3 linked regions of the Notamacropus eugenii genome follow. The protein of the gene in region 2 purifies or fractionates together with the protein of the main gene of each other region. This does not show direct contact. Links are inferred from orthologs where the notes say so. Each region holds a gene or a part of one and is shown on either strand. Other genes may lie near its edges. The genes, in order: ARID1B, BCL7C and DPF2.

What was found.
Region 1: the proteins of BCL7C (region 2) and ARID1B purify together in Homo sapiens (affinity purification with mass spectrometry; 4 studies listed by BioGRID and IntAct, counting the BioPlex papers as one, with this or other methods). This does not show direct contact. The link is inferred for Notamacropus eugenii from reciprocal best matches to the Homo sapiens genes BCL7C and ARID1B.
Region 3: the proteins of BCL7C (region 2) and DPF2 purify together in Homo sapiens (affinity purification with mass spectrometry; 4 studies listed by BioGRID and IntAct, counting the BioPlex papers as one, with this or other methods). This does not show direct contact. The link is inferred for Notamacropus eugenii from reciprocal best matches to the Homo sapiens genes BCL7C and DPF2.

What each region holds. Positions count from the first base shown.
Region 1 is NC_092873.1:250,120,712-250,128,594, forward strand, and holds the start of ARID1B (AT-rich interactive domain-containing protein 1B), read left to right. Parts: upstream 1-3,785; 5' UTR 3,786-4,037; intron 4,038-4,317; 5' UTR 4,318-4,435; coding exon 4,436-6,391; intron 6,392-7,883. UniProt on the Homo sapiens protein: Involved in transcriptional activation and repression of select genes by chromatin remodeling (alteration of DNA-nucleosome topology).
Region 2 is NC_092874.1:377,802,701-377,810,583, forward strand, and holds BCL7C (B-cell CLL/lymphoma 7 protein family member C), read left to right. Parts: upstream 1-2,897; 5' UTR 2,898-3,451; coding exon 3,452-3,543; intron 3,544-3,894; coding exon 3,895-3,973; intron 3,974-5,011; coding exon 5,012-5,120; intron 5,121-5,243; coding exon 5,244-5,408; intron 5,409-5,496; coding exon 5,497-5,582; intron 5,583-5,712; coding exon 5,713-5,859; 3' UTR 5,860-5,931; downstream 5,932-7,883. Other genes in the region: CTF1 (cardiotrophin-1), read right to left, coding at 1-48, 1,884-1,956. UniProt on the Homo sapiens protein: May play an anti-apoptotic role.
Region 3 is NC_092873.1:18,132,553-18,140,435, forward strand, and holds the start of DPF2 (zinc finger protein ubi-d4), read left to right. Parts: upstream 1-2,880; 5' UTR 2,881-2,953; coding exon 2,954-2,985; intron 2,986-3,144; exon of another isoform or gene 3,145-3,327; intron 3,328-3,832; exon of another isoform or gene 3,833-3,972; intron 3,973-4,379; exon of another isoform or gene 4,380-4,481; coding exon of another isoform or gene 4,482-4,492; intron 4,493-5,786; coding exon 5,787-5,947; intron 5,948-6,263; coding exon 6,264-6,371; intron 6,372-6,565; coding exon 6,566-6,729; intron 6,730-7,086; coding exon 7,087-7,179; intron 7,180-7,339; coding exon 7,340-7,418; intron 7,419-7,852; coding exon 7,853-7,883. UniProt on the Homo sapiens protein: Plays an active role in transcriptional regulation by binding modified histones H3 and H4. Is a negative regulator of myeloid differentiation of hematopoietic progenitor cells. Might also have a role in the development and maturation of lymphoid cells.

The sequences.
Region 1 (7,883 bases), on a different chromosome or scaffold from region 2:
TTTTGTCTCTACCAAGATATTTTTCAAGGTCTGAATTTATAGGCCACTCCTAAGTTGCATGGCTGATATAAAACAGCTGAAACATCCTGTATTCATGTGTACTCATTGATTATAAGTGAAAAAGGCAATTGTTAAAAACATGAAAATTGTTAAAAAAACAAAAGAAAACAAAAACCTTCCTGATTATTATTGGTAGGGAAATACCATAAGCTCCATTCACTGAAATTTTTCATCAATCTGTGAGGAAAGAGAGTTTCCAAAGCTTTCTTTTTCTCTTTTAAAAAAATAATTCCTATATATAATTTCAAATAGCTCCCAATTACGTACAAAAATACGAGGGGTAGTGAATATATAGAGTCATTGAAAAACCAAACAACATAGCAAAAAGGGACTAATCAGAAACCAACGAGAATAGTTAAGGGGGTACTAACAACATTAAAAGAATAGTTTTGAAATTCTAAAACTACCATCTGGCCCAAATGTTCTTTATGGAGGCAAATTAAAGAATGCTTTAGGCAATGTCCTTAAACTGATTCCAAAGGAGCAGTATTTGAAGATTAGTTTTTTCTGTATCATAAGTAAAAATAAGTTTGTAATAAAATATAAATAATAACAAAATAATGGGCAGTACCTTCACTTAAATGAGAAATGCTGGGACCTGAAGCTGGGAAGGACGTATTGAAGGACCCGAAATTGAAGCATAATGGGTTTTGGTGCTGTTTTCATTTTTTGGTGTCATATTAGTTGTTTTGCAATGAATTGGTAAAGTGTTTCTTGCGGGCATGAATTTAGGCAGAATGTGGTATAGGCAAGGGATTTGGTAGAAAAATGAACGCAGTGCTTACCACTGCTTCAGTTTGTAGAAAAGAAACTAGGGTGAAGAATATACCATGACTGCAAGCAAATTAAGGAAAAAGAGGCGGCATAAATTACAAAACCAAGTTGTGATTGTGCCTTGGTGGACTTTACGATACGATTTTGTTGCTTTCTAACAGATTGGTGGTAATCCTAGTTTGTTTATTAAGATACTAGATTTCTTAATGAAGACAAGAGATTTTTACTTTGTTTTCCTGGAAAAGTGCATTTGAAAAGCCCAAGCTGAACCCACAGGTTCATAGACTTTCTCCTCATTTCAGCAAGGATGCTGAAAAGGTATCAGCAAATTCTTCCTGTTCTGAGACAAAACTGAGTCCTCAATGCTTTGTGTGGGGCTTCACTTACACAGACTGCAGTGCCTTCTGTCTGCTTTGGGTGTGGCATCTGCCATTGGGGAGGAAAAACTGGCATGTGTTGCCTTTTATAGCAGACCGATTTCATTGTGCTGAGGGCCTCTATTTTATAGCCTCCTGGTTCCAATCTTCTAGTTGACTCGCTGAAGCAAATGGAATTAAAACAACTTAAAACTACAAACTTCTTGATTTCCCCCCCCAGTTTCACAATTTGTCTACATGAAATAAATGCTCCCCCCACTCCCAGAAAAGAGTCAATAGTAACTTTGTGACTCATTTTCCCTCAGCGTTAGTTATGAAAACAAGCCACAAAGCATGGGTAATATAATTTGGATTTATTTTGATACATTTTATCATATTTTTAACATAAAAAATGATTATATGTACATATCTCTGGTGTGAGCCCAAATGTCTAAAAATATAAATATGTAATGGATTTTTTGAATATATGTATGCATATAAACACATACATAGAACATATATTTATATTTGCATATGAAAGACTTAAAAATTCAGCTTACAGTGTAATGTGTATAATTAGTATGTACTTGAATATAGAAAAGAAAATCCAGGAAAATATGTCAAAAAGGCACAGTAACAAAGATGTAGTATTCTCTTGGCAAAAGCTGAAGAATGATTTGGCATGAATTCACCTTACAGTTCTGCTGTTCTCTCTTCTACAAGATGATATACCTCCCCCTTTCCAGTGGTTTGCATAGAATTGCAATTTGTTGTTTCTACAGTCTATAATGACCCTTGGGTATGCACCTGACTCCCCCCTCCCTCACAATTACTCACCAATTTTTTCCACCCTATCGTTTTCTATTAGTCATGTAACATAGTTACACTTGGTCAAACAAACAAAAATAACTAGTGTAGTTGAAATAAACTGGAATACTTTTATGCACAGTTGAAGAATTAGGGATCTTATGATAGGTAAATCCTACGGAATGGTGAAGTACGCTCATATTTTTTAAGGCAGAAAGAGAAATTCAAAGAAACGTTCCATGGTGGTTACATGGTATTTATTGCTAGTTTTAGAGTAGTATAATTTTATATTACCTAATGAAACTTGTAGTTTTAAACACTTCCTACCAGTGCCTTAGTACAGTTGTGCTGTTTCTTACATCAGTGTCACGATATTCAGATTATTCCCATCCTATAAAACAATTATGGTCATTTTCCTGAGAACAGGGTATGAAACATTTGTATTAATCTGTGTTTAGATGATCTTCTTAATAGAAACTCACTGCCGTCTGATTTTGCTTCTCTGTAAAAATAACTCTTGTTTCACATCATTGAGCAGGGAATTGATATTAAAGCTGATTATTTTACACATTCTCTTTGGAAACATGATGAAAGGTGTCACAGAGGTGTTCTGATTGAGGATGAGCGCAAGCTGGTGCAGTTATGACTGGCAGTTAAACTTTCTTCTAAAAGTGGTTTGGATCACACAACACAACACAACTTTAAAATTATTTCCCTTTAAGGAGTGGAGATAAAAAGTGCCTAGGAGAAATACAGATACGACCTAATAAATTTCTTTCTAAAACTATTTCAGATTTGGGAGTTTGTTCTTGTGAACAGCAATATGTGTATTATGGAAATAATATATGTATACATGTGTATATACACAAGAGTGCACATACAACCCATATATCTAGGGAAACAGCCGTGTATACGGAAAACAACACATGCATGTATGCATACATACGTATGCACATGGGGAACACGGATGTGACATGCGTACACAAGGAAACACATGCATGTAAAATGGAAATGCACATAAACCTACACGTGTATTTGTGTGCCTACGTCCCCACATGGGCACAAGAAAGGAACTTTTATTTTTTGTTGATAGCTTTGCATACAAATGTACTAAGATGACCCATAAACAAAGATTATGTTAATAATAAAATCTTTGGGGCAGATGTGGACATTGGTAATTAAACATTTATTGAGCGCTTACTGCATACACAGCACTATCCGTTTTGGACGGAGCTGTATATACTACGCTCTTCTAAAATAAAAATACGGCACCCCATTGCAAACCTGCAGAAAATTCACGAATCCACCTTATTTCGTAGCTTGAGTAAAGTTGTAGCAATCATGTTGCCTGACTTCAGACCAATGCATAACGGGTTAACAGCCTGCAAATTACATAATGAATTCTGAAATAGCTAACGCTCCCCCCCCCCCCCCGACTGCCCAAATATTTTTATTTTTAGTCAGCGCGGTGTAACCTTTGAGCCAGACAGACAACTTTGTTCCCCAATCCGTCTCCTTCTTTTGTCCGCCAGTCAGACCCGTTTTCCACCTTTGTATCGTTCCTTTTAAACATGAAAACAAACACATTAATGCCTAGTTGGCAGGGAAACAGATGCAGAAGGGGAGAGTGCAGGCCCCTCCGGCCCCGCGCCGTGGCGTTAGGAGCGGCTGCGGAGCTCGCTCGGAAAGCCTGCCCCGTCCGTGCCTGCGCCGGGAGTCTCCGCCGCGCGCCGCCGCTCGAGCCGCCCGAGCTGACGGGAGAAGGTAGCTGGAGCTCCGCGGGGAGCGCCGGGGACCGTGCCGGAGGGGGAGGGGGAAGTCCAGTCCGCGTTTTGCGAGTGCGCGGCGGTAATCAGAGAGAAGTGGATAATAGTTGTTCGGGCTCTCTCCGCTCTCTCTCATGCCATGCTGGGCCAGATAGGCTCAGTCAGACGTGTATTTACCCATATCCGGGTTAGAGAGGAAAAGAAAAAAAGTTTCATTTAAACCTCAGCTAAAAACTTTCAACATGAAATCCCACAGCAAGAACAGGCATAGACCGTAAGATATTATTATCGTTTCTAATCTCGGTCCAGGACTTGGGGCGGGGGGGAAGGGGGAGGGTAAAGGGGGGATGTTTTTATTTTCTTTGGGGGTATGTGGACTGGAGACCGAGAGCGGCTGTTTATTAAAAAAGTGTCTTCCTTGTTTTCTCCCTTCCCCTCTCTCTCTCCCCCTCCCCTTTCTTTTGTTTTATTTTTGTTTTGTTCGGGGGGGTGGGGGGGGGTCGGGGGGGCACATTGGACTCGCGATGTTGCAATGATCATGGCCGCGCGAGTAGCATCAGCCCCGGCGGGTGCGGAGCACAGTGATCGGGGCGCCCCGCTCTGCGTCCGTGGCCGGCTCACTTGACCCAGGATCTCCCGCGGGGGGGAGCCGGAGCGGCGGGACCGGGATCCATGCTAGGGGTCGGCGGCGATGGGCCCGGCGGCGGCGGCTTGAATAACGTAGCTCCCCATCCCCTGCACCACCATAATGAACTGAACATGGCCAATAACGCGAGCTCTGCCGCCGCCGCCGCCGCCGCGGCTGCCAGTAATAATAACACGAAGAGCGGCGGCGGCGGCGGCAGCAGCGGCGGCGGCGGCTCGTCCGAGGCGGCCCTCAAGGAAGGTGGCAACGCCGCGGTCTTCTCCTCCTCCTCCTCCTCCTCCTCCGGTGCCTCCTCCTCTTCGTCCGCCCCGGCCATGGAGACGGGGCTGCTCCCCAACCACAAACTGAAAAACGTCGGCGATGCCCCCGCCGCACCTCCCCACCACCAGCAGCACCACCACCATGCCCACCACCACCACCACCACCACCATCCTCACCATCTCCTCCACCACCACCACCACGCATTACAGCAGCAGCTAAGTCACTTCCAGCAGCAGCAGCAGCAGCAGCAGCCCATCTCCAACAACAACCACAGCCTCGTCGCGGTCGGCGGCGGCGGCCACGGAGCGGGGGGCAGCGGCCACGGAGCGGGGGGCAGCGGCGCTGCTGCTGCTGCTGCTGCTGTCGCGGCGGCGGCGGCGGCTGCTGCTCAGCCCAGTCCGGACATGGAGCCCCAGCAACATGGAGGAGGCAAAGACGGGGTTTTGGGAAATCAGGCCGAGCCCCAAGCGCGGCAGCTGCTGAGCAAGGCGGGAGAGGAGGAAGAGCTCCCGACCAAAATGGGGGAGCAGATGGGCGGCCGGTACGAGCACCCCAGCCTGGGAGCTTTGGGCGCGCAGCAGCAGCAGCCGCCGCCGCCGCCGCCGTCGCAGCAGCAGCACCAGCAGCAGCAGCCACAGCAGCAGCAGCAGCAGCAGCAGCAGCCGCCCCAAAGCACCGGGAACGGCAGCGGCGGCGGCGGCGGCGGCAATGGTAGCCTCGGCAGCGGCGGCGGCGGCGGCCCCTCCGCCTCGGTGGGGGTCTCGGAGTTTAATAATTACTATGGCAGCGCTCCCCCTGCGAGCGGCGGCACAGGCAGCCGAGCCGGGCCTTGCTTTGATCAACATGGCGGACAACAAAGCCCCGGGATGGGGATGATGCACCCGGCCGTCGCCGCCGCCGGGCCCCCCAACAGCATGGACCCCTTGCAAAACTCCCACGAAGGCTACCCCAACAGCCAGTACAACCATTATCCCGGCTACGGTCGGCCCGGCGCGGGAGGCGGAGGAGGAGGTGGCGGCGGCGGCGGCGGCGGTGCTGGAGGAGGAGGAGGAGGAGGAGGAGGAGGAGGAGGAGGAGGAGGAGGTAGTGGAGTAGGAGGAGGAGGAGGAGGAGCAGGAGCGGGAGCAGGAGCAGTGGCGGCGGCGGCCGCAGCGGCGGCAGCAGCAGCAGCAGCGGGAGGCGGCGGCGGCGGCGGCTATGGGGGCTCGTCCTCGGGCTACGGGGTGCTGAGCTCCCCCCGGCAGCAGGGCAGCAGCATGATGATGGGCCCGGGAGGCGGCGGCGGCGGCGGAGGAGGCGGCGGAGGCGGCGGCGGCGGCGGCGGCGGGGCTGCTAGCCTGGGCAAGGCTGCCGCCGCCGCCGCCGCTGCCAGTTCTGCCGCGGGAGGCTTTCAGCGCTTCGCCGGGCAGAACCAGCACCCTTCGGGGGCCACGCCGACCCTCAATCAGCTGCTGACTTCCCCGAGCCCCATGATGAGGAGCTACAGCAGCAGCTACCCCGATTACAGCGGCAACCCTAATGCCCCAGGCCAGCAGCAGTCCCAGGCGCAGGGAGCGGCGGGGGCAGCTCCAGGAAGCCAGCAGGCAGCGGCGGGCATGGGCATGGGCAAAGATCTGGGCTCCCAGTATGGAACTGCAAACCCCGGCTGGGCAGCGGCACAACAAAGAAATCATCCAGCTATGAGCCCTGGAAACACTGGACAGACCATGAACAGATCCCAGGTAACTACTCGAAAAAACCAGGGCCTTCTCCTAGGGCTCGAGACACCCCTCAACCCGTAGGCGAGCTTTAGTTAGTTTCTTTCTCATTTACTTTTTTCCCCTCTCTCTTCCCCCCCTCCCCCCCGGGAGGGAGGCGGGGGTAGATTCCCAAAGCCATTTTAACTCCTAGCTGCCTCACCAGAAAATGTTGGGTAACACCGTGTCTGGCTCCGGCTAGTTCGGGGGCATCGCTGAGGAAATAACAGCTATTTTATTTACACAATTGATGAACACGCTATTTCACCCCTTTAGCTTCGTATTATAAAAATGGCAAGAAACCAGCAGGCTGCAGAAGGCTGTGGGGACGACTGGAAGCGCTTTTGTAACCCATAGTGTTTTTAAAAGCCAGTAAATTCTAAAAGTGGATCTTGACTAAGCTGGTCTATTAAATGCTTTGATCCGGTAAAGCATGAACAGTTCTTTCTTTCTGACTTGTTTGCCCACATTAGCCTTGGTTTGCTCATGAGGCTAAAAGTTGGAAATTGTGAGAAAAAGAGGTTTGTTTTTTGACAATCGAAGCGTTTCTTATAGTTACGAACACCTTACATGATTAGCGTGGAGTTGCTTTTGATTTCATTTTGAGTTGGAATGTTTGGTAACACACATTCCAGATTTCAACTAGGTGGATGTGGAATAGATTAAAATATTTTATGTTACATAACATAAATAGCCAAATCCACAGTTTGTTACATAGGCTTCTTGAAACCTGTCATTTTAAATGACATGCTGACCTCAAAGGGCTAAATTTCTCATGAGTCGTACTTGTTTGGATCATTGAATATACAGATATTTGATGTGCTTAATATAATGATAAGCTATCAGATCATCATTTTGGAGCCTGTTTATATGGGTTTCCTTTTGGGGAGGGTGGTTTTTTTTCCCCCAACAGCCAAATCACATAGGTTGATTAGGGAGCGTCCTGCACACTTACTGTTCTTGCTAGCAGACTGAGTCTAAAGACTGACTTGATCTCCTTTGCAAGGTTTGGAATTTGAATTGTGGAGGTAAACTGGCTGTAATAGTCTCCAGACAGCTGCCTCTGAGTTGACATCTAATCTGCCATCTGATTGGCTCCCCTCTCACCATTGGGCATTTAGCACTGCTGATGTAAATAGAAGTGCTGAGCAGTACAGTCACAAAAATTCTTGCAACAAATAATAACTGAGCAGTACTACTAGCAGATGCAAAGTTGAATACTGTTAGAAGTTTAAAGGATAAGGACTAATATTCATAAATGGGAGGATGAAATGAACATCTACAGAAATAACATACCGTTTGCCTTAAGGAAAAAAACGGCCTTGGTGACTGTATGTTCTGTGCATTGCTGTTATCATGAACTTTAATTTTAGAGAAGTAGAATTTTAATAAGGAAATACTTTTTGAGAATGTGTTAATGTTAAAGCAGTACACTTTTTACTCTTAGTAAACTGAGATGTATCACAGAAGATTTTTA
Region 2 (7,883 bases):
TGGCCTCAAGGTGGGAGAAAGATGAGGCCGAATGGGACTGTAAGTCCACTGGAGGGGACAGGGGAGGATGAGGAGGAATCAAAACCCAGGTCCCCTGACATAACAGATCTCCCTTCTTCCCATAACATACTATTTTTAGTGTCTTATTGGTGGCTTGATTCCACATTCTCACCTTATACCAATTGGGGCTGTAGTCCTATCTTCCCCTACCCTAATTATCTGAAAGAAGAAATTGATCTACAGGAGCTGGAGGTAGGGAAGCAAGGAGGTGTGGGGCCTGGACAGGAGACTTGAATGACTATATTGCAGATAATCACAATTCCTAGGTGATTATGTGTTATAATACCTGGAGTACCCTTTGATAATACCAACTACAGTTTCAAATCCTGACAAGTTGACTGATTAATAACTTGAATTGGCCTTAGACTCCTCTGAATTGGGAGTTCAGTTACTTAAGGGATTAGAAAATTTTAATTCTTAACAGTTTATAACCTAGTCCCACTGTATACATCACCAAAGACAAGAAGGGGAGATGCTAGGACAGGAGTTCCTAACTTTTTTGTATGTCATACTCTTTTGGCAGCCTGGTAAAATCTATGGACCCCTACTCAGAATTACATCTTTAAATTCATACAATAAAATGGATAATTAATTATATCAAAAGTTATCAAAAAATTAAAACAAAACAAGTTCATAGACCTCAGGTATAGAAAACACTTGACTACACATTCTGGCTTCACTTTACTCTTGACTAGGAGAAAACTACATTTCCCAGGATGCAAAGAACTTAGGCAGATGCTAGGCACATGGTGCTTAATATTGTAGGGGGAGGACTAGTAAGAAGGAAGCGACATGCAAAGGTGACCAAGTTCTTTAACCCATGTCTGGCCCCAAAGACCTATCACCACATCTTTTGCTGTTCAGCTCTCTCTCTCTCTCTCTCTCTCTCTCTCTCTTTCTCTCTCTTTCTCTCTCTCTCTCTGTCACACACACACACACACACACACACACACACGCGCGCGCGCGCGCGCACACACACGCACGCACACACACACACACACACACACACACACACACACACACACACACACACACACTCGTCAACTTTCTTCCCAAGACCCTATCTCTCTTGAGTACTCGAGTAGCTTATCAATTAGCTCTGGTTCTCCTTTATAAAGAGCAAAGAGCTTCCTTGCATTCTACCCTCCCCCACCTCGATCTCCTTCCTTTCCCTCCCCCCCAGCCCCCCCCCCCCACTCCCAGTCATTAATTGACCATCCTGCTCTATTCAAACTATGAGACTTCAGCCAGAGGCTGGTATTTTTGCCAAAGACTCTCAACCCCACACTCTTTGCCCCTCTTCAACATATAAGTTGTTAAGGTGAGCCCACATCTCACTTCCACAGCCCCACTTCCACTTCAAGTCCTATCCTTTTAGTTTCCTCCTCCAAGTCCTTCCCCATTTTCTTAATCAGATCCCTTTCCTTTCTCAGAATCCATCCATTTGGCTGTTTAGCCACTAAGCTGTCCTTTTCAGAACACAAACATTACATTACAGCCCCAGGCACCTAACTTGTAGGACTGAACCCTGCTCCTCCTATTAACCTGCAGTCTTGCCCAGTTCCCAGCTTTCTCTTCTAGACCCAATTTTTCCAAGTCCCAGAAGTCCCTTACCCTTGTTTCCCTCCCTCTGGCTCATGTTGGCCCCCTCCGTCCCCTGGCTGGTCCCGGTTCCCTACATGCCCCCTCCTCCCCTTCCCAGAGAGAAGAAGAAGGGAGGGAAAAGGGGGGTAGGGGGCGTGGTCCACTATCAACCAATCAGGGGCCACCCCCAAACTCCCCCCACCTCACCCCAAGCCCAGATTCCAGGGCCCTGAGCTCACCTTTTAGCCCTGCCCTGAGGAGCGGAGAAAGGCCTGGGAGCGAGAATATAGGTCTTGGGAAGATAAAAACCATAAGGATCTTGGGGCGCTCCCTCCCAGAGAGCTTCAACTTTTCTCCTAGTCTAGGAATTGGATTGAGAACTGTCACCTTGCTGATGAGGTCACCCAGACAGCAAAGGGGCAGGGACTGTCAGAGTTCTGAGAGGGCAGTTGAGAGGAAAGAAGCTAGGAGTTGGGGTGGGGGTTGGGGGGAAGGAAGAGGAGGACTCCTGGGTTCAGGGAGGGAACTGGCATGCCTGGAATTCAAAGAATGTACCTACTGGATAGCTTTCCTGGGGATACACCAAGTGAACTACCCCCAGGAGTTGGGGGGTGGATGGAGGAAGGGGAAAAGATTTGCGAGGTTGTTGGAGAAGGTGGCACCGGAAATGTATTATAGTCACAGGGATGTGCAGACACACACCAAGAGATCTACTACCATATTCTTGAACAGATAGTCACATCTCAATCTCACCAATTAGACAGTAAAGCAAACTGATAGACAGACACATTTTAAAAGGATATCTGATATATTATGGGCGCCTGCCCAGGAATGAAACAGTGGTATCCACAAACACTTAGATCCACGGCACAACCCCACTTGCTGACTCTTAAACCAGCACCCACAGATGCTGTGCAGAGTGAGAGACATGTTTCCTGAAGGACTTTCACAAACATGCTAGGGAAGAAGATATACAAGTACCCCAGTTTGATACAATTGCATTAATGCCCACAGTGATACATAATCGCCAACTGATACACATATACACGCACATGCACATAGAGGCTGAAACTCCACAGGCACAAGGGGGCAGTCAAAGGAACTTAAAACGAAATCGAGTAGGGACCTCCCCTTCCCCCTGCCCCTAGCCCTGGCCCTGCCTCTACGGCCAGGCCCTGGTCCTGTCTCTGGAGAGCAGGGGGCGCTGTGGGGGAGCCAGAGTGGGCGGGGAAACAACTCAGCACAGGGGGCGGAGGGTCTGGTCCAGGGGACTACTGCTCCTTGGTTTCCTGGCTGCAGCAGGGAAATCCCCAAGCCAGAGCAGAACTAAAAGGCGGCTGGGGCAGGGGCGGGCTTAGAGGAGAAGCCAGAAAGAAGTGACAGGGAAGGAGACAGACACTGACGACAGGGAGCCGAAGAAAGGGAAAGAGAGACAGTGAGGGAGGCAGGAAGAGTGACTCACAGAGAAAAGCGAAGACGACAGACAGCACTGGGAAGGGAGGAGAGCAAAGAAAAAACATTTTTGTTTTTAAAAGCAGGAAGACAGGATGGAAAACCAAGAGGGAAAGAAAGAGAGGGAGTGAATCAAACCGACGAGGAGATTGAGAAGTGGGGAAACAGGAAGCCAGTGAGCAAGGGGTAGGGGGAGAAAGGGATAGCTTAGGAGGAAGAGAGAACTGAGTAAGGCAGAGAGGGAGCTCCAGGGGAGAAGGGCACCAAGTGACCCAGACAGAGGTGTCTGGGGAGTCCAGGAAGCATCCCTAGTGCAAGCCAGGTGGGCCTCGGGAGAAGCGACACCTCAGTTCTCATGGCGGGCCGGACGGTGAGGGCTGAGACCAGGAGCCGGGCCAAGGATGACATCAAGAAGGTGATGGCAACCATCGAAAAGGTCCGGAGATGGTGAGAATGGAGGCCCAGGGACTGGAAGGCTTGGGTTTGAGACAGGGAGGAAGGGAAGGGATGTGGGGTAATAACATGGAGTGAGAGCAGTGGGATGAAGGTTTCAGACAGACCACCCTCCAAAGCTTTGGATATCTAGGTCCATCCCAATTAGACTGCTGTTTTTCCCTTCTCCAAAGATAGCTGTGCCATAGAACTGTGTGTTTTTATGTGTTGGTGAGATGTGTGTGTGTGTGTGTGTGAGAGAGAGAGAGACAGAGTGAGAGAGAAAGAGAGACAGAGAGAGAGAGAGAGAGAGAGAGAGAGAGAATCTCTGGCTCTGCATGACCTGGCTCTGTGGATCACCCCTAGGGAGAAACGCTGGGTGACAGTGGGAGACACTTCCCTCCGTATCTACAAGTGGGTGCCTGTGGTGGACCCACATGAGGAGGTGAGAGAATTCTATTTCCCTTATGACATACTGCCTTCTCCACTATTCCCTTTCTTTCTTTTCTTTGTAACATTATCAGTCTTTTCCCCCAAACCAGATTCCCCCCCTTTACTTGGTCTTTTTTCAGTGTCACTACCATGTATCCCAGTCTCCCCTAAACATTGGATTCTTCACTCTCATATCCTATATGTTACTAAGCTCTGCTGAATCTTTTCACTGCAGTAACATTTGCATCTGTACTTTCCTTTCTATTTCTACTTGCTACCACCCTAGTGCAGGCTCTCATTATTATCCACCTAGGTTATTGCAATAGCCTCTAAATCTATCCTTCATATTGCTACCAGATGTTTCCCACCCCACCCCCACCCCTCAGCTTGCCATATCTTGTCATGCCACTCCATTGCCCAAAATCTTCCACGGTTTCTTGTTGTTGTCTATCCATTGAAGGTCGAAGCTCTTTTGCCTGGCATTCAAGGCCCTCCACAGCTAGGCATCACCCAGCTTTGCACACTTCCCCCTACAGCTTTCCTCCATCTTCACTGACCGCTTAAGCCAAAGTAGATTGCTTTCTGTCCCCAATTTCTTGCACCTGAAAATGTCTCCATCCCCTTCTCACCTGTTGAATTTTTACCCATTTTAAAAGCCTAACTCAAATATTACCTCTACCATAAAGCTTCCCTGGCTTTATCAGTAACAGCTGCACTCTCCCTCTCCCCAAACCCATAAAATAATCTTTACAAGTATGCAATGAATTGATTATATATTCCTTTGGATTATGTTACATGTGTCCCATTTCCTTAACTGGGCAGCTCCTGGAGGGCTGGTCTCCAATTAAAATTTTTTTTATTCCCTCCATACCTTAGCACAATTCCCAGAACACTGGAGGTACCTAATGAATGTTTGTTGAAAAGAGCTGAATTCCTTCAGGATCTGACTCTTTTCCCTTTCTTGGGAAACTTTCCTGCTCCCTCTCCCAACTAATTCATTCATCTTTTCTCTACCACTCTCGAACTACCTTGCTCCTTTTCCTTTCTGTAGGAACGTCGACGGGCAGGAAGTGGGGCTGACAGGCCCCGAGTCAGGGAACGGAGGGGTCGGGGAGCCAGTCCAAGAGGGGGTGGTCCCCTCATCTTGCTTGACCTCAGTGGTATGTAGGGGTGTCTGGAGGGTGGGAGAATGGAAGTCTTAGGTTGGGGGAAGGGAGAAGAGATCCTAAGGTAGAGGAAGCAGAGGCACCCCAAGGCCCACCCCTCCCAGCCTCTTTTCCCAGCAGATGAGAACAGCAATCAGAGCTTCCACTCAGAGGGCTCCCTGCAGAAGGGCACAGAGCCCAGCCCAGGGGGAACGCCTCAGCCTAGCAGACCAGCCTCACCTGCTGCTCCACCAGATGGGACTTCTGAAGATGTTCAGCCCCCAAGACTGGGCCAGGAAAGAGGTAAGAACTAAACAACTCCTCCATTGGCTTCCCACTGTGATCTTTAGCTCCTTGTTCCCTGGGGTAACCTGCTTTCTTGTTATTCCAGATCCAGGGGGTGTGACTATGGGTGGGACAGATGAACCCCCAATGCTCACTAAGGAAGAACCTGTGCCTGAGTTATTGGAGGCAGAGGTGAGAAAGGCTGGAGGAGGCTGGACTTTGGAGCGGTAGGGAATGAGGGATGTGGAAGGACTGGGGGTTGGAGGGGGCGGGCAAGATCCTTGGGATCTAGGAGAACTTATCCCCAGTTCCTCCTCTCCAGGTTCCTGAAGCTTACCCAGTCTTTGAACCAGTGCCCCCTGTGCCTGAGGCAGCTGTGGGGGAAACTGAAGACTCAGAGGGGGCACCCCCTCTCAAGCGTATCTGTCCAGATGCCCCTGAAGGCAGTCCGCTCCCCCCAGATCCTTGAGCCTAAAAAGCTGATCCATAAACTGTTGTGTCCTCCCTGGCTTTTTACAAATAAAGAACCTTTTGTAGCCAAGTATCCTCTCATTTCAGTTAGCACACCAAGGTTCTGCCGCCCATTCATTAACTCAGGAACCCGCGCTGTCCTAACGATGCAAGGAAAAGTGGACACCAGACATCCATAAATATCCATATTTCTCCTATTGGAGAAGGGAAATGAGGAAGAGGAGAATGAGAAGATAGACTGTGTGCTGGGTCCTATAAGTATTAGGGTTCTTCTCGCTTCTCCTCTTGTGCTCTCCCTTCTACCCTTTCTTTTCCATTTTCTTTCCTTCTTCTATTACAACTTAAATCCTCCTCTGTGCAAGTTCCCCTTTTGATATTTTTAAACATTTCTTTAAATTATGAACTTAGTCACCAACATAAACATTTCGAAATAGAAAGAATGAAATCATATAAGAAACTTTGAATTTGTTATGTAGCTTAAAGAAATACATATTACACTTAACAAGGTAGTAACAAAATCACTATATCCCTTCGGTATTTTTTTTGTTCTGTGCATTTAAAAATGTTTTTATTTATATTCTACTATTTCATGCCTATCAATTTCAACTAATCTAGACCTTCCCTTCAGTATGCCTCTTTTATAAAATTGTTTTCTTCAGTTAACTTTTGCACCTCCTTTTCCATCTGTCCAATTGTTCCTTTTAAAGAGTTACTTTTTCCAGTTAGTTTTTGTACTTCCTTTTCCATTTGTTCAGTTTTCCCAATTAGGTTTTATGCTTCCTTTTCCATTTTTCCAATTTTCTTTTTAAAGACCTGTTCTCTTCAGTCAGTTCTTTTTTCATATTTTTAAAATCATTGTCCAGTTTTTCTTCTCCTTCTCTAATTTGACTTTTAAAATTCTTCCTGAGTTGTTCCAAGAATACTCTTTGGTCTTGAGACCAGTTCATATTCCCTTCTGAAGTTTCAGATGGGAGTACAGTCTCAATGCTGACCTCTTTGATATTCATGTTTTGGTCCTTATCCCCATAGAAAGATTCTATGGTCTTTTCTGCTTTGCTTCTTATGATGGTCACCCTTTTCCTGGCTTTTAAAGTAGATCTCTGTTTCTGGGGCACAGGGGGCTCTGTCCCATAGTTCTTGTGCCTTGAACTTGAGGCTTTGTGTGTTGTAGCCTCTGGTTCTTTCAGCTAGAAGCTAAAATGTTGCAGCTTACCTGGTTCTGGGCTGGCTAATGGGAGAAAGCAGAGGTCAAGTGAAGTCTTTCTGGGTTTCCTGGAGCTAGCTGTGTTAAGTGTGGGGGAGGGGTGGTCTGGCTACAGCAGGTCTCCTCTGCTGAGCTAGAGCTTAGGTAAGTTCAGTGGTTGGTGATCCCGTCTGCCCTAGTGTCTTCCAGATTCCCCGGGGTGCTGAGGCATGCCTGGGATCCTGGTGTTGGCAGTTGAAGGTTCCACCCCCCCCGGGGATCTCCTCCCAGTTTACTGAGGTGAGGCTGTCTGGAACAGCTGTGGTCTTGCACTGGTCCCCTTCAGTCACAACAAGAGGGACCCTCAACAATTTTCCTGGCCCCAAATGCTAAGAGACTGTTTGCCCTTTTGGCTGATCCCACTATTCCAAGATTTTTCTGGGGAGATAGTTTATGGGTGTTTCAGTGTCAACAAGGGAAAGGGGAGAGCTTTTACTGATCACTCCAGCATCCTGGGTCCCAGAAGTTCAAGTAGGTGACTTATAGACATTTAATCTGAGGGCTGATAGTCTTAGGAGCAGCCACTGCAGATACCTGGGGCTCCGAGGCTCTCACTCACTCAGTCCCACTGGATTCCTGTCCTTGGCTGATATGCCCGAGATTCTGCAGGGCAGCCACTGCCTCAGACCACCTGGGGCTTCCTGCTTGGCCCTGCCGCGGGGATGCGCTGGTACAGCCTGTGCGCTCTGTGCTGTGTGCTCCTCCAGCCTCCCACAACAGATCCTTCTCGATGACCTTCTAGTCTGTCCTGGGTTGTGAATCTGCCACAGTCTGTCTCC
Region 3 (7,883 bases), on a different chromosome or scaffold from region 2:
CTGCTGGAACCAGCCCCTACCAGTCAGCTGGAACACTCTGTGCGTTCAGAGTGATAGAATTATAGGCTCCTCTTTAGACTGAGTTTCCTGCCCTGGTTACTCTTCCATAGGCTGGGCAAGAAGCTGGAACTGAGATCCTGCTCTTCTTCTGAGATCTGAGCCATACTACTGCTGCTGCTGATGGCATCTAAGCTTGCCTCTATGTACATCAACTCAGGCCCTCCTCAGCTGCTCCTTACCCCAGAATGCCATCCCTGAGAACAGGTCTCCTCCTCCATCCACCTTGATCTTAGACCTGGAACTGATTAGTGTTGGCACCTGTTCCTCTCCTGCCACTCAGGGGTGGGTCTGACCTCCTTTCACCCTGGTCCACAACACTGGAGGGCTTCTGGCCAGATCCCTTTCTGTCTATTTTCCTAGACCAAATTGGGCTGGCAAAACAACTCAATATGATTTTTTTTCATGGATTTCTCCATCCAGATTAGATCTGGCACATTTTCCAGATCTGCTTAGGGAAGGTGGGGGATTGGGACCCTGGAATACTGGCTGTGAGGCCTCCTGCTACTTGGTTCCTCGGTTCCTCCATCCTAATAAGGAAAGCGGCAGCCCAGAGAGTGTCATTTGGATCTGGGAAGTTTCAGGATGGTACAAACAATGGAGGAGTTCATCCTTTTGAGGAATAGCAGAGTATGGATTGATTATTTTTCCCAGCACAGTCAATTAATAAACTTTATTAAGCACATACCAAACGATGCCAGGTACTGTGCTAAGTGCTGAGGATGCTACAGCCCCTGCTATTAAGGGGTGTACTGTCTCATGGGGGAGATGATGTGCAGACAACTATGAACCAACAAAGAAGACAATGGCATTAAAGGCGCATCTAGAAGCCTTCAGGTAGAAGGTGGGATTTTAGTGGAACAAGAGGTAAAAGTCATAGCTTAGGGAAGGGATGATACCTATGGCAGAAACCTGACCAGAGACTACTGGGGTGTGTCTAGGGGTCCCTCCCTACCCTGATCTACCTAGTCAGAATCCAAAGTAGAGAAGCAAAGTCAGAGGCAGAGGGTGGGGATGAACAAGTTAGCCCTCAGCAGCATTGCAGAAAGATGGTCAGAGGGCATCAAATCCAATCACCCTGAGCTTGAAAGTGGGTTAGAGTCAGCAAAAATTTATACTTCTAGATCTAGGCCTGAAAGGAAACTTAGGAGTCATCTGGCTTCAAATACTCATTTTATAGCTGAGGAAACTGAGGCCCAGAGAAGTCACCATTAAGAGATTTACCAAGGTTCACTTGTGTGGTAAATTATTTCTAGGATTTCATCTCTGGTCCTGTGACCGCAAGGTCAATGAGTGCTCTCTCCACTGAGCATCAATAAAATTTTTTAACTTTGGGAATTTTTTCGATATTAAAAAATTATAAATCAGAGGTTTAGGGCAGTTAGGTGGTGCAGTGGATAGAGCACCAGCCCTGGAGTCAGGAGGATCTGAGTTCAAATCCTGCTTAAGACGCTTGACACTTCCTAGTTGTGTAACCCTGGACAAGTCATTTAACCCCCATTGCCTTGAAAATAAATAAATAAATAAAAGAGGGTTTGAACTGATTAACAACAATGTTGTTGTCCTTTGTTCTTGAAGAGGACCATGACATCAGGGAGGTGATGCTATGACATGCAGGTGAATTGGATCGAAGTGATTTTGACGAGACTATGAGTGTAGAATATTGCAGCTCCTGCCAGACACAAGCTGGTGCATGGATAGCTTGGCTAAACCGTTTTCTTTTCTTTCCTTCTAATTCTCTGTTAACAGAGCCGGCAAGGCAGGTGAATTCTTACACCTCAGAAACCGGCAATCCCTACAAATCAGCGCTTGATTTGTCGTTGGTTTCTTAATTGACTACATTTTAAAAGTGTTAATAATCAGATTTAACTTAAAAGTGTTTGTGCAAATCTTCCCCCCTCCTCCCCCCCGGAAGCCTGTTTGTTCCACTACCATTATCTTCATGGTCATGTTTGGAAATGAAATCCGTGTGAAAATGGAAGAAAACAGGCATGGATACAAAGTTGCAAAGGAGATACAATGTAACTTTTAAAATAAGGGCAACTTTGTATGTTTGTATACGAGCCTGTTCCCGCGAATTCCTGGGCGGAAAAATGGGAGGCAGGGCGGTCCTCAGGGGGCAGACCGGTTTTTGCCCTTCTGGATATGCCCAGGTTAGCAGGTGCCCGGTAAACAGTAGGCGTTTAATAAATGCTGGCTGCCCACGGCAAAGGAAAAAGTTTAGGTTTGAGTTACTGTTTTCAGTTGCAGCTACTTTCCCCTCCTCGCTCCCACCCTGGGGGTCCCTTCCACAATTGAGGAGCCCCCAGAGGACGCTGGAGGTGAAGGGGAAAAGGGCCCCCCCGGCCCGAGGCAAGGGACTCACTGCAGTCCCAAGGCTTTTGTCGCTTTCCTGGAGTCACAGGCTCAAACCGCGCGTGCGCACTGGCTTGGTTCTGTTCCCTCCTACCCGGTACTGGCTCGGCTCCTGCTAATGGGAAAATTACCGCGCTTGCGCGATGGAGCTGGGGCGGCGGGGGCGGGGGGGGTTGGGGAAGTGGGAAAGATGGCCGACCTTTTTGGCGCCTGCGCGTTGGAGCAGGGAACTACGAGCCGGCTTCTACGTGGAGGCGGAGGAGACGGAGAGAGCTTCTGTTTGGAGCTTTGGGGAAGGCGGGGTGGAGCGCGTCAGGCCTTCGGAATCGGCGCCTGCGCGCTGCGCCGCGGTGCGGGCGCGCTCTCCGGCCCCGGCGCTTGCGCGCTGGCAGCCTTGTCCTCCTCTCTGCACGCCTGCGCGCTGGGGTCGCCGCGGGGGCGGGAGCGGGGAGCGTGCGGACGCGCGGGCACGCGCTTCGGGCTGGGCGCCTGCGCACTCCGACCCCGGGGGCTCCCGGGCTGAGGGAGAGGAGGAGGGAAGATGGCGGCCGTGGTGGAGAATGTAGTGAAGCTGTGAGTGGCGACCGCCGTCTCTTCAGAGCCGGGGCGGGCGGGGGGGGCGGGCCCGGGGCCGCGGAGGGGGGCGTGGCGGCGGCGTGCGCGGAGACGCCGCCGGGGCGGGCGCGGGGCGGCCGGGCCCGGACGAGGCCGTTGGGCGCCGGGCCGGGGCGCGTGGCAGCTGCGGGCGCGAGCACTTCCAGCGGGGGCGCGCGCGGGGCCCCGCTCCAGCCAGGCGCGCCCCCGAGGGGGAAACTGAGGCCCGAGCTCCGGCGCCTGGAAAGGGACCTTAAAGGGGGGGTCGTCTCGCCTGACCGAGGAAGTAAACTGAGGCACGCGGGCAGTGCCAGGGCCAAGGTCACGGAGAGAGTCAGCGGGAGGGATCCTAGAGACAACCACGGTCCCACGTCCCATTTGACAGATGGGGAAACTGAGGCACAGAGCGGGGCCTGGACGGGCGCCCCCGCCCTCCACAGTCCCTGCCCGGTGCTGAGGCTCGTCCTCGGGGGATTGGGGAGGACCCCCGGGGGGCGGCCTGGGCTGCCCTACGGGGTCCTCAGGAGGTGGGCCTGGCACGAACACCCCCGGCCAGACGCAGAGCCACAGGATGCGCTTTGGGAAGGAAGGAAAGGGGCACCTGTTCACCCAATAGGGGAGTTTTAAATACAAAGGGGGTCCCCCCTGCTTGGGGTTCTGGAATGAATGCTGAAACCGGGTGCCAGGGAAGGCTGCAGCTCTTGGGCCTGACCCACCTGAAGAAAGGAAGGAGGGCCGGCCGTATGGCAGGATCCTCCTGTTCCCAGGGGGCAGGCCAGGGGCTCTTCCTTGAATCCTGAGGAGCTTGCTTCATGCCGTTGGCCAGGGGTAGAGGCATCTCAGAAGTGCGGGCAGCCGTGAAAGGTGGCGTGGCCTTGGCATCTTACCTGGGAGCTTAGCATGAAGTGGGCCTTGAATTCACTCCACCTCGCCCAGGAGTGGGTCAGCAGAACTCCTGTTCTCTAGGTGCCAGCTAGATTTCCAGCTGTTCCTTTTTAAGCGGGTGCAGGGAGTTGGAAGAGAGGGTTTTTCCAGGGTTCTCAGGCCTCTGTCCTTGCTTTATGGTAGGCTGCAAGCTGCTCCCTGGACGGGAGCCTTTTTGATGAGGGAGAGCATGCCCACTGCCATTCAGCTGGGTGCCCTCCCTCTCCTGGGTTAGTTGGAGGGGGCGGCAGGCTTCCTTTCTGCTCAGCCACCCACCCATCCCACTCCATCATCATCCTCTCTGATGTGCCCACTCCTTTTCCCCAGTCTCTCCTCAGGCTGGCATTTCCCTCAGTTCAGAGAGGATCATGCTAATCTCCCACTCTGTCCTTCCTGACACAAAGGTTCTCTCCCCCCTTTTCCATCCTTTTCCTTGGGTTTGTACCCAGCACCCCACAGGGCCCAGAGGCAGTTTCACCGATTTTATACTGACGTAGAGGGAAATCCAGTTGTTCTGAGAAAAGCTGACTCTTCTAGATCCCAAGGGGAGCATGGAAAGAAGGCAAGAGGGAAAGAAAAGCTAAAAAAGGGAAGTTTCTTGGGGTAGGCCTGTTTTGGATGGGTGGCAGCAGGCACCTTCAGGTGGGGTTCAGGGGGTTGGCAGGGTATCTCCTGAGACAGGCCTTGGTTTCTCCATCTCACCTCTGAGGTAGTCTTGGGGGGTGGGGTTGGGGTTCCTGATACCCTGGCACCCTGGCAATGGGGAGCCATCCACCTCCTCCTTAGTACCTGCTTAGCCCCCTGCTGGGGGCTGCTGATGACAGTCAAAGTCTATTGACCAGGCTTCTCTTCCAAGGAAGGGAACTCCACCTTCTTTTTCCTGTTCCTGATCCCCACCCAGAGAAGCAGCTGTTGTCCCCTTGCCATGCTATCACCAGGCTGGTTTGTTTTGGTTTTTGTTTGGGGGGGAGTACTTAGTTATCTGACAGTTTAGTCTTAATTTGACAAACAGGACACTTCTGGGCTTTATTTGTGATGGGCTCCTGAGCTGGGACTCTCTCTCCCTGGCATAAGAAATGAAAAGGAGATCTCTTCGTAAGGGTAGCACCCATTGTCCCCAAACACCCATCTCTCTCTTAGCTGCTTAACAGGATCTGACCCTTCTCTGTCCAGGGATCCCTTGCTGAGTTCTCCCTCCCCTGTCCCCCAACTCATTAGGAGCCATGTTCTCTGCCCTTTCCCAAATACATAGTGTTCTTTAAAAAGCTGTGTGGCCCACCTCCTGGTGTATGCCTGAGGTACCCACACAACCTGAAGGCTCCAGGATCTCCCTGCTCACCTTCCATTTCTTTCTGAACGTCACTCTCAATTCCCATCAGTGGAAACAAAGGAACTGCGCTCTTTAGCCTTGTTTATCCAATTTTATTCTCTGATGGTGAGAATGTGGAGGCCGATTTCTGAAAGCCAGCTAATATGGACCCATTGCCTCCTCCTCACATAAGAGGCCTACCTCAAATTACAGTAATTACAGCTCATTGAATTAAGCTGGGCTGGTGGCATTTCTGCTGCTGCCTTTCTGTTTGTTTTGGTTTGGGGGTGGGGATTTTTCCCAGTTGCTCAAAGCACCAAATTATTGAGAGCTCATCAGATCATGGTGTGGGGTTTGAGGTGGTTTATGTTCTGGGCCTTCCCAGCCAGGACACCCAGAGGCCCCTGGGGCCCAGCTTGATTCCTCTTGGTGACATTTGACTTGGCTCAGCTGGTGTCCTCTAAGGTAGAAGAGGGAACAGACAGGTCAAAAGGGTCCCAGACAGCTTTCTGAGCCTTCCCTTGAAGCCCCTCCTGTCCCCCTACAGCCTGGGGGAGCAGTACTACCGAGATGCCATGGAACAGTGCCACAATTACAACGCCCGCCTCTGCGCCGAACGCAGCGTGCGCCTGCCCTTCCTCGACTCCCAGACTGGAGTGGCCCAGAGCAACTGTTACATCTGGATGGAAAAGCGGCACCGGGGGCCAGGTGAGGGCCAGCCCGCTGAGCACACAGCTTCTAGCTTGGGCTGATGGGAGGCCCAGGGAAGCAGAAGGACAGGCAGCCCTTCTGGCTTCCTTTGTTCTCCCTAGTCTGTTGACAGACAGCACCTGGTTCCCCTTCACTTTCTTTTTTCTTTTTTGTGCTTCCATCTTTCCCCACCCAATTTCCAACAGTCTTACCTGTTGTCTGGAATCTCTTCCCTGCCTCCACAACATTTACCCCAGCCTCAGAGTGAGCGGGCATCTCCTGGTCCAGAAGGCATTCTCCTTCTCAGGTTACTGACCCCGATCATCTCTCACAGGGCTGGCCTCAGGGCAGTTGTACTCTTATCCTGCCCGGCGTTGGCGAAAAAAGCGCCGAGCCCACCCTCCTGAAGACCCCCGACTCACCTTCCCATCCATCAAGCCAGGTAGGGGCAGTATTCCTCTTCAAGTAGTGCCATGGTCAGTTTCTGGGGCTAAGAGACAGACTGAAAGGGGAAACCTGGAGACTGTGGGATCCTGGGAAGTTGGGGGGTCAGAGGTGAATGAGGGCCCTTTCCTTCCAATGGGCATGACTACCTGTGCCCATCCATATCTCAGTGTAGCCTCGCTCTCCTTCCAGACACAGACCAGACCCTGAAGAAGGAAGGACTTATCTCCCAGGATGGGAGCAGCTTGGAGGCCCTACTGCGCACCGACCCCCTTGAGAAGCGGGGTGCCCCCAATCCTCAGGCGGATGATGACAGCCTGGGAGAGTTCCCAGTTACTAACAGCAGGGCGAGGAAGGTACCAACGGAGGGACCTCACAGGGACAAGGGACCCCTCATTGGAAGGATGCTGGAGCAGCCTGGGTTAAACCAGCCAGATGGACTTTCGGAGTGGGAGAGGGGCAGGCCATGTCATTCCCTGAAGTGTCTAAGAAAAATGCATTCTGTCAACTTCAGGCTTTCCCCAAATTCAGTGGGAACCCTGGGAAAGGAACGAGAAGCTTCCCAGTTACGTTTGCCTCCCATTGGCAGAGTAACAGCTGAGAATGGGCAGGGGGGCATGTGCCATGCCTGTCTGGATGGCGCCCCCTCCCCACAGATGCTGTGAGCATCCTTGCTCCTCTCCCCACCCATCCTTATCTTCCCCTTCCCTCAGCGGATCCTGGAGCCTGAGGACTTTCTGGATGATCTGGATGATGAGGACTATGAGGAAGACACACCCAAGCGCCGGGGCAAGGGCAAAGCCAAGGTGAGCTGGGAGAAGGGGAGATGACCAACAGGGTGTATCAGGTGCCTCCCTGCTCCTCACAGGGAGAGGGGAGCATACGCCAAGTGTGGGGAGATTCTCCGCTTCCCCAAGGGCAGCTTAGCTCCCCAGGACCTGAGATCTCCCTTATTCCCATTGGCAGGGCAAAGGGGTGAGCAACGCTCGAAAGAAGCTGGATGCCACTATCCTGGAGGATCGGGATAAGCCCTATGCATGTGACAGTGAGTGCCTCCACCTCTTGGGGGGGGGGGGGTCAGGTGGGTGGAGCAGCCCCCCTGATGGGTGGGGGGAGGGAGGGAAGAAGGCATTGACCTTGGCCTGTAGGCTGTCATCCTGAGTTCTGCCCCCAGCCCTCCAGGATGCTGGGAGGTGTCTAGCTGACCGCATGGGGGCCTGGTGGTCCTGGAGCCCCCTCCCCCGTGAGGTTTTTAATGCAAATTTCTTTCTCTTCCTTTCTGTTTTCTCTTCTTTCTCCTGCCTCCCCCCCATTTCTGTCCCTCCAAGCGCCCCCCCACTCGGAGACTTCTCTCCTTGTTGGACTTATGCTGTAGCTGCTGCTCCTGTGTGCGTGTGTGTGTACATGTGTGTATATGTGTGTGTGTACATGTGTGTGTGCGTGTGCCTTCCTCTCACGACTTTTCTTTCTGTCTTTCAGATAGTTTCAAACAAAAGCATACCTCGAAAGC